2 linked regions of the Rattus norvegicus genome follow. The protein of the gene in region 1 purifies or fractionates together with the protein of each later gene. This does not show direct contact. Links are inferred from orthologs where the notes say so. Each region holds a gene or a part of one and is shown on either strand. Other genes may lie near its edges.

Region 1 (4,218 bases):
GATTCAATGACTGCTATTTCCATCACCATAATTTAATATGCAAACATCTTAATCCCAGTTTCCAATGACTGACTTCAGGCTCACAACAGCTATAACTAAGATACAACAAGTATCACTCACTCTCACAGTCATTTTGGTGGTTTTTGAGAAACATCTAATTTGCCTTCTTTGTGTCCCCATAACAATGAAGAAATGAAGGAGATTTTTGAAAATTTTCTCTCCAAAAATGTAGCAGTCCACTGTGGCTATTAACCACTTGAAATGTGGCTAATCAAACTGAGGCAATATATTTTGCATTCTGCTTAATTGATTAAAATTTAGAAATAGTAAATTCAGTTACTGGAAAACTTTTATGTATGTTTGGAACAACTTGAATATGTGAACCTACTTTTTTGCATATGCAAATTTTATGAGACCTAAATACAGATCAAGTACTTCTGGTAAAAATTTAGCTTGGCGTCAAAATTGAGATGTTCGGTTAGTATAAAACACACACTGCATTTCAATGGCTTAGTAGGAAAAGATGTACAGTATGGCAAAAATGTTCAAGCTGAGATCACTATATATATATATATATATATATATATATATGCATATATATCACATAAATATTTTACTAAAATTCCACCTTTTTGTTCGACATCTTTCTAAAGTGGCTACTAGAAAATGATAAATTACACGTGGCTCTCATTAAATAGCTTTGAACAGCGCTGCTCTGGGCACATCCACAAAGACTGGAGGAGACACATTTGGACATCCTCCTCCTAACAGATAGGCTGGTCACTGAACAATGGGGCAAGGAGCATTTGAGTCTAAGAAAAGAGTGTAGCAAGCTCTACCCACAATTTCTCCATGTGTAATGCCTCAATATGGAGGAAAAAAATGAGTTACCCGTACTCAAAAAATTGAAACTGAGTATACTGCAGACAACTTAAAGAGGTAAATGCAACCGCTCTGTCTTGCTTTCATTTCCCAAGTGTGGACCTTAAAATAGACAATAAAGCACCGCTTCCAAAATGAAGTAAAATATTCTAATACTAGCTATCTAATGAGCCCCAGTAAATAAGCAAAAATCGCTCTTAAATCTTATCTCAACTTCCAAAGCCAGAGAATACACGCTGAGCTAGGAAATCAACTTCAGATTGCCAGCATTTCCCTCACAAGCAAATTAGCAGGATTGTGCACTTGGAATATTGTTTGACAAGAATGAAAAGGAAACAATTCAAAACAGATTTCAGGACTGGACAATTAGATGAGGAACTGCAGATTTAATTCTCAATCAGCACTGTGATTAATCTGATTCCCTGCTTTTCCCTAGAGTAATTATACAACACAGACGAAAGGATGAGCATTTGGACTGTCAGTTCTATATTCTAGACCAGCCCGGTGACTCAAAGCAGACGGCTGTACCACGCTAACCACCATCCCAACAACAGTGGAAGGGAGCCTCGAGCACTGATTGTACAGTCATTGCATAACGAGACATTAAAATTTTGGGTGCCCCTAACTCTTTCTATGTTCGTCTATGGCAGATGAAGAATTTGCTGAAACTGGACGCATCCGTCTTCAATGACCCTCTTAAATACGGGCATGGGGTGAACACAAAGGCATCTGTCTAATATCCTGGCACAATAGACACACACCCCACAATTAAAAACCCCGGACGCGCTCTCTCGCCCTCTCCACACAAGCACACGAAATGCAGACTGCTCTTTTTGGAAAAGGTCTATGGTACAGGAAAGGTAACAATAACCCCAACTGTTCCCAGGAAGCAACTATAAAATCGGTCCTGCCACGTCCCTGTCTAACCGTCAGATAAAATGCAGGCAGCCCGCCCCACGCCTTATGGGGTGGCCGACCGGGACTCGGTGGCCTCCACGGATCGCTGAGAAGCCCCCAGACTCCCTCCTGGCAGGAGATCCAGGTACACGTCTATAAATACTCCAGGGTGAAGAGGACAAGGGAGACAGAGGGGAGGGAGAGAGGGCAGGGGGCAGGCCCGGAGCGGGTGCGGGAGGCCCCGGGCATCGCTGAAAAGCATTTTTCCACACTCCCGCTCCCTCGCGTGGAGACTCACTTGCCGATCACCTCGCACAGCTCGTACACATCCTCGAACAGCACGTCGTCGTCGGCCATGGTCCGGAGGGGACAGCGGCCGCAGCGTGGAGGGTTCTGAAAACTGGGTTGGGGGCGCCCAAGAGCTCAGTGCCCGGCTCCGGGCTCGTGTCCTCCCCTCAGGACCCGCAAGCCCTCGGTGCTGAGGAAGCTCGACCGGGGCCGCGAGGCCCGGAGACTGCAGCGCCTTTCCTCTGCCGGCTGCCGCCCCGGCGCGGGCGGCGGGGCCGGGGCGTGGGAGCGAGGGCGGCCCGGGCCCGGCGCCGCCCGCCCGCCCGCTGCTCCTCGCGCGGTTGCTGGCGGCCGCGCTGCCGGGGCGTGCGGACCCTCGGGGACCGCGAAGCACCGCACTCTCCGCTCGTCAGCCCGCGCGGGCCGCGAGGCCGCGACCGCTCCCTCTGCCCGAAACCGGCTCCGGCGCGGCGCGGGGCAGCTCGGGCTACAGGGGGGGCCGCGACAGCACCATGGAGGGAGGATCGTCGCGAAGGGAGGTGGTGGCGGCTGATCCGCGCTGGGGACCAGGAGGCGGCGGCAGAGACGCTCCCTCCTCCTTCTCTCCTCCTCCCTCCGCCGCCGCCCGCCCGAGTGTGGGAGGGGGCTTCGCGGGATGAGAGTTCAGTGCGGGCGGGAGCCGCGACCGCTGCCTTCAGCTCCTCCCCTCAGCCTCAGCAGCCGCCTGGCTCCTGAGCGCTGTACACCCGCCTCCCGCGGACAAACCCTCCTCCCTTTCGGCCCGCAAGGCAGCGAGACCTGCAGGCCCCGCCCCTCCAGCCCGTTGGGAGGCGGGGACCGCGGAAGGAGGCGGAGGAAGGGAGGGAAAAAAGAGGCGCTCCCAGTGGCGCCTGCGCGCAGCGCCCTCAACGTCACGGAGAACCGGCGGGCGCGGGGAATCTAGAGGGCGCTGGGGGTCGGCAAGCGGAGCTTCCCGGGTTGCGGGTTGCAGCTGCTGAGGTGGGGCTGGTGCAGGTCGTCGCCCCTACTCCCAAGCCGCAACCAAGGGGAGAAGCGACAAAAGGTCCACAGCACTGTGCACGTTCTTGGACGGCGTGCTCAGCACTCTGGCAGCTTTCCCTCTTCTTTCGTAACCCCAGGAAGCCGTTCCCAGGTTTTTGCTGGGGAGAAAAAAAAAAACCCCAACAACTCAGGGAAAGGGTTCTAATGAATGGAAAAGCCAGAGAGGAGGTGGAGAGAGGTTGTCACTCAAGACCGTGTTTGGCGGCGGAGGATGCTTTTAGTGCCACCCTGCCATTCCTTAATGAAGATGAGGGCTGGGGGAGGGGGAAAATTGTCCAAGGAAAGAACCGAACAAAAACTGCAGAGGAAGGTGTACCACAAAAACTAGCGAAACAGCTTCTCCTACTGCCCGCTCCAAACTCACCAAATATCTATGCAGTGTCTATTGCTGCTAGACAAAACCTAGAGACGGACCAGAAAAATAGTGACATAAAGCGACTTTAAATCCATTGAACATTGTTCCCCAGCCCCAGCATCGACTTTGTTTACTCCCTATAAGTGTTGGAGTTCTTCGCATAAAAATGCAACTAGAGGAAAGGGACACACAGGGTCAGCCGCGGAGTAAGGCTGTGGGTGTTGCCGCTGTGCTAGGTTGTATGCAATATGAAGATTCTGTTCAACTGAGCATGTGCAGAATGAGCCAACGCCACCAGACAGGTATATGCCTCAGTTGAAGACCAATAAAAAAGGAAGTCTTTGTTCCTCCGCACAGCAGAAGTGTCCAATTAGTTCATAAGTCAGCTCTCCAGAAATCATCTGTTAAAATTCTCAGCGCGGTATTTTTTAAACTAGTATTTACCAAAGTGCAGGGGGCAGGGTGAAGATTCAGCCTATTTCCCTTTCAAATACAAAACAAAAAACAAAAAACAAACAAACAAACAAAAACGATCTGCACAAACCCTTGGTCCGTCCCTCGAGAGGTTGGGTGATTTGCTTGTTAAATATTTGGGAGCTTAACCTTTTCTTTCTTGCAAATCAGAGGAAATATAATTGCATAAATATGTTTTCCTCCTTTCCCAAAGATTTTGTATTTTCTCTAAAGAAAGGGCTTCAGAGCCCAAAACACTTTGTCTTCTTTCGGGGGTCCAA
Region 2 (4,177 bases), on another chromosome or scaffold:
AAGCTTCAGGCTCAAAGAGCCTGAGTGAGGAGCTAGGGCTCCACCCCCACGTAGTGAGGCAGGTGGGGATGGAGCCAAGCTAAAAAAAAAAAAAAAAAAAAAAAAAGGAAAAAAGAAAGCTTTCAAGATGTCAACTGAAAAAGTTACCAGCTTATAAACAACACCCCCCCCCCATGGATAAACAAAGTTGGCATGGTGAACACAGCTTCGTACTGGATAATCCAAGACTAAGTTAGGCATTCTTGTTTTTGTCATCTCAAGTGTCTTTGTTACTGCAGTCAGGTTTCAAATTTTAATTGATGTACCATATTGAAGCTGCAATAAAAGTCTGGAAAATTCAATGCTTACCTTCTCCATCAAATGTTCCTTGTCCTTTCAGCATTTTTTTCTAAGAGACAAAAAAAAAAAAAGGAGAGAAAAGCAAACTGTGTATGAATAAGCCAAGTACAGCTATTTTAAGTTAAAAGTTCCTTTTTGTTATTTCCTTCAGATTTCCAAAAGCACATGGCAGAGAATCCCCATGGCAATAAACCGCAACAATAAAATAAAGTGTAGAGCGTCCCCACATCCCGTTAAACTAGAGAAAGAATCCTCGAACGACCAGCGGTCCTGCTCACGTCTCTGTGATTCACTCTCACTGTTAAACTGAACTTTGCTCCCCCTGACAGCTGGGGGAGGGGCACATAAAATGTTATGTAATGTCTTCCCTTTAAGACTGTATGTCTAAACTAAAACAGGCTTGCTTGTGTATTACATGTGTGACATTTCTATAGACTGGTGCCGGTTGTCTGATTAATCAAAAAAAAAAAATGTGACTGCCCTCTTGCTTAGATCTCTCGTGTTTCTAAGAAGGTGGCACATACTCCAAACATCCCTCTCTGGCTGGCCCTTTTCCTTTAGGTCACATTGTAAAAAAAATATTTAGTAAGGCCAACTGCTAGGCCCATATTAGGTTACAATATCTCTCACTTTCATACAGATTCTAAGCTATTAGTTTGTAAATAATAATAATGATAATGATAATTATAATGATAGTTAATAATAAAGCACAAATATGGGGCATGGTTACTGAAAAAAACAAGGCAATGCACTGTTCCATGATTTCATGTGCTATGGGCATTCAAAAAATTTCCCCAACACGTTCACATTGGATTTAATGAATGGCACGTGAGCCAGCCCAGTCTTACCTTTATCCTTCCCAAGCTAGAGAACTTCTCCTTGTCTTCCATTACCGCCTTCAGGACAGGCTGGGACATTCTGTTCTTCTTCTTTGAGCTGGTGGGACTGTCAAAATCAAAACCGCTGACCACTGCCCTTCGGTAAGATGTGGACCGCAAGCCTCGCCGAAGGGAGCCCGGGCTGTCTATGTCGTTGTCGGCTTCGCTTTCCTCCCCTTCGGGGCCCAGGGGTGCTCCCAGTCCCTCCACCATGCTGCGCACCTTGAGAAGCCTCCTGTGGGGCTCTACATTCTGACTGTTGGATTTACTCAGTTTAATTTCGGAGGCAAGGCTTTTGGGGATAATCTGCTGCTTTCCCATCTTGAGGGCCGCCGGGCTGTTGGTACTCAAAATCACGGAAGGGTTCGGTAGCTCATTCCCTTGGGAGGGCAGCCTTTGGAGGGGCAGTTTTTGTTCTGAAGACCTGTGCTGGGGGGCAGGAGAGAGTCTCGAGGGGGACGGCTCCAAGTCCCCAGCAGACTGACCAGTTTGTGATACTGGGCCAGATGAGTCGGTTTTCGGGGCAAGGCCATTCGCAGTGGGTGAAGATACCTTACTGGCAGTCACCCTGGTGCGGTCCTCACCCGGGGCGCTAGAGGCTGGGATGTCCGGAGTCCGCGAGGCGCGCGACAACAGCGCCGCGGGCGAGGACACCGTGCCATTAACAGCGGACTTCGGGGAGCCTCCAGACGCCGCGTAGGAAACCAGGGGTGACTTGGGTCGTCGAAGTCGAGGAGAAGCAGCTCTGTAGTCCGGGGACACCGTGCGACCATTGGTCACCGGCCTCCGATGTGCGCACAGAAGCTGGGGGCTCCTGGACACTGTCCTGCCCTCTGGGCCGGCGGGTACAGGGACCGGAGTCTGTGGCGCGGGCAGAGCAGCTAGCTCCTCCACCGGGAAGTCAGTGATCAGCAGCCCGCTGGGGCTCTGGTACGACTGTGGCCGCGGCTTGCTCCGGCCGAGCAACTGGAGCGGAGGGGTAGACCGTCTCCGCCACAAAGGGGTGACGCCGTTGCTGGAAAAATCCACCTCGCTTTCGCCGTCCATAGCGGGGCCTTTGGGCCGGCCCCAAGAGGAGGAAAGCTTCTCAGGTTGTCTAAGAGGAAGGAACTTTGCCTCCGGACAACTAGTATTGTCTGGGAGCCTAGCCGGGGTCCAGTCCGGCGGTCACACGGGTGTCGCGCCGGACTCGGCAGCGCCTCACTTACCCGCCCTTTCTCGGGCACAGCGCCTCCCGCCACGCTGCGCGACCGAGGATTGAGATCCGAGCCGCAACCGATTAGATGAATCTGGTCTCTTCTGAGTCCTTCCCGCGCCCCAAGCCGGTTGGCACCTAGAGAGCTCGCCGCCACTGCAGGACACTTGGAAAGAGTTCAGCTGGCTGGGACAGCTTGCCGCGGGACACTCCCCCGCGTCTCCATCTAGCCGCCCGCCCCGCGCTAGTACAGCCTGCCCCCGGTGCGCGGTCTCCAGCGCGCTCACCCTTCCTGGCGTCCAGAGCACGGACCAAAGAGTGCTCCCAGTCCCCGTGGGTGGCCTGAGTCCTCACCAAAACTCGGAGGCAAGCGCACAACCCAACTTCGCAGAGGCCCGCGGCGCCAGCCCCGCCCCCGCGCTACGCCCCGCCCCTCTTGGCCCCGCCTCAGCACGCCGGGGAAGCTCGCACTGAGGCGCCCTGCAGTTCCCGCCTACGCCTGCCCTGAGAGCGCTCCAAGTGTTTGCAAACTGGACGCGCACACCTGAGCTGGGTGTCCAGACCGGAGTACTGGAATGTAGGAGCGCGGGCGACCGCCCTAGGGGCCAGCTACAGGGCGCGGTCGCAGCTCAGAACACAGCATGGGAATGATCTTGAGAGCAGGGAAAGGGGTTCTTAATGATCCCCGAACTATGGAGATTGGAAGGGTGAACCAAGTCGGAACCTGGTGCTGCTGTGCCATTTCACTGGGCCACTTGCGGGTCTTCAAACTGCACCTCACTCCGGCGTCTCACTTCGGGGTCTCATTCCTGCCTGTGCTTGCAATGTGGACTCAAGAGGAAAACTGGCTAAAAGGCCAGGCGAAACGTAACTCTGCATTTCATAATCTTTGGGCCTTGTATGTTTGCAAGTCACACAGTAAAAGTAAACAAAATACAAAATATTTATTTAGTGTGTATAATATAAATTGAAAATGTGTGTAGAATAAAATACCTTACAAGGAATACATAATAAAGCCTTATTCGAGATTAGTAGTCTGGATAGAGGTGGGCCTACCCCTACAGCCTAGTCTTTTCTCACTACCTTTATTTAGCCAAGCCAAGTGCACAGCCTTAGAGTCTTCACACTTATTTCTTGGCCTTCTGGCTTGTTACTCCATTGGAATGGGAGTTGGAATACTCCCTACTGTTTATTTCCCCAACCACCTGATCTCTTTCTTTTCTACACTACTCAAAATCCGTACACCTGTATGCTTATATGTTTATGTATTAATACTTAATCTATTCTGCCTTCCCATTGTAATTTTGAAGAGGGCAGGGGCCATGTTGATAGTTCACGCACACAGTAGATGATAAATATCTGTGGAGTGAGAAAATGAATGAGAGAAACGAACCTGGGCCAATGATCATTCGTCTTTTGGATGTTGGTTGCCAAGTTGGCTCTGTCTTAGTGAAATTCCAGGTATGTAAGAATAATGAGGCGACCTGAGAAGACATGATTTTAGTCGGTTAGATCTGTAGAATTGGTTCTGTTAGCAAGACATATGGCAGTCTCCATGCTTTCAAAGTTCACGTGAGCAGCCACTGTTTAAAGCCTGTGCTTCTTTCTGCTTTGGTGGTGAAAGGAAGGGTGATGTTTATCGTGTTTCTTCATATTTTTGTGTACTTACCAAAGCTGCACGATAAAGATCTTTGAACTGAGAAACGTCCTTGAACTCGAAGAAATGGAATCAAAATGTTTATCAAAATAAATTTTAAGAAAATTT

Evidence for each region. Proteins that work in one complex are often made in the same cells at the same time.
Region 2: the proteins of Cask (region 1) and Arhgef26 purify together in Homo sapiens (affinity purification with mass spectrometry; 3 studies listed by BioGRID and IntAct, with this or other methods). This does not show direct contact. The link is inferred for Rattus norvegicus from reciprocal best matches to the Homo sapiens genes CASK and ARHGEF26.

Annotation. Positions count from the first base shown.
Region 1 is NC_086039.1:11,570,911-11,575,128, reverse strand, and holds the start of Cask (peripheral plasma membrane protein CASK), read right to left. Parts: upstream 2,801-4,218; 5' UTR 2,137-2,800; coding exon 2,078-2,136; intron 1-2,077. UniProt on the Homo sapiens protein: Multidomain scaffolding Mg(2+)-independent protein kinase that catalyzes the phosphotransfer from ATP to proteins such as NRXN1, and plays a role in synaptic transmembrane protein anchoring and ion channel trafficking.
Region 2 is NC_086020.1:148,888,046-148,892,222, reverse strand, and holds the start of Arhgef26 (Rho guanine nucleotide exchange factor 26), read right to left. Parts: upstream 2,801-4,177; 5' UTR 2,265-2,800; coding exon 1,188-2,264; intron 389-1,187; coding exon 349-388; intron 1-348. UniProt on the Homo sapiens protein: Activates RhoG GTPase by promoting the exchange of GDP by GTP. Required for the formation of membrane ruffles during macropinocytosis. Required for the formation of cup-like structures during trans-endothelial migration of leukocytes.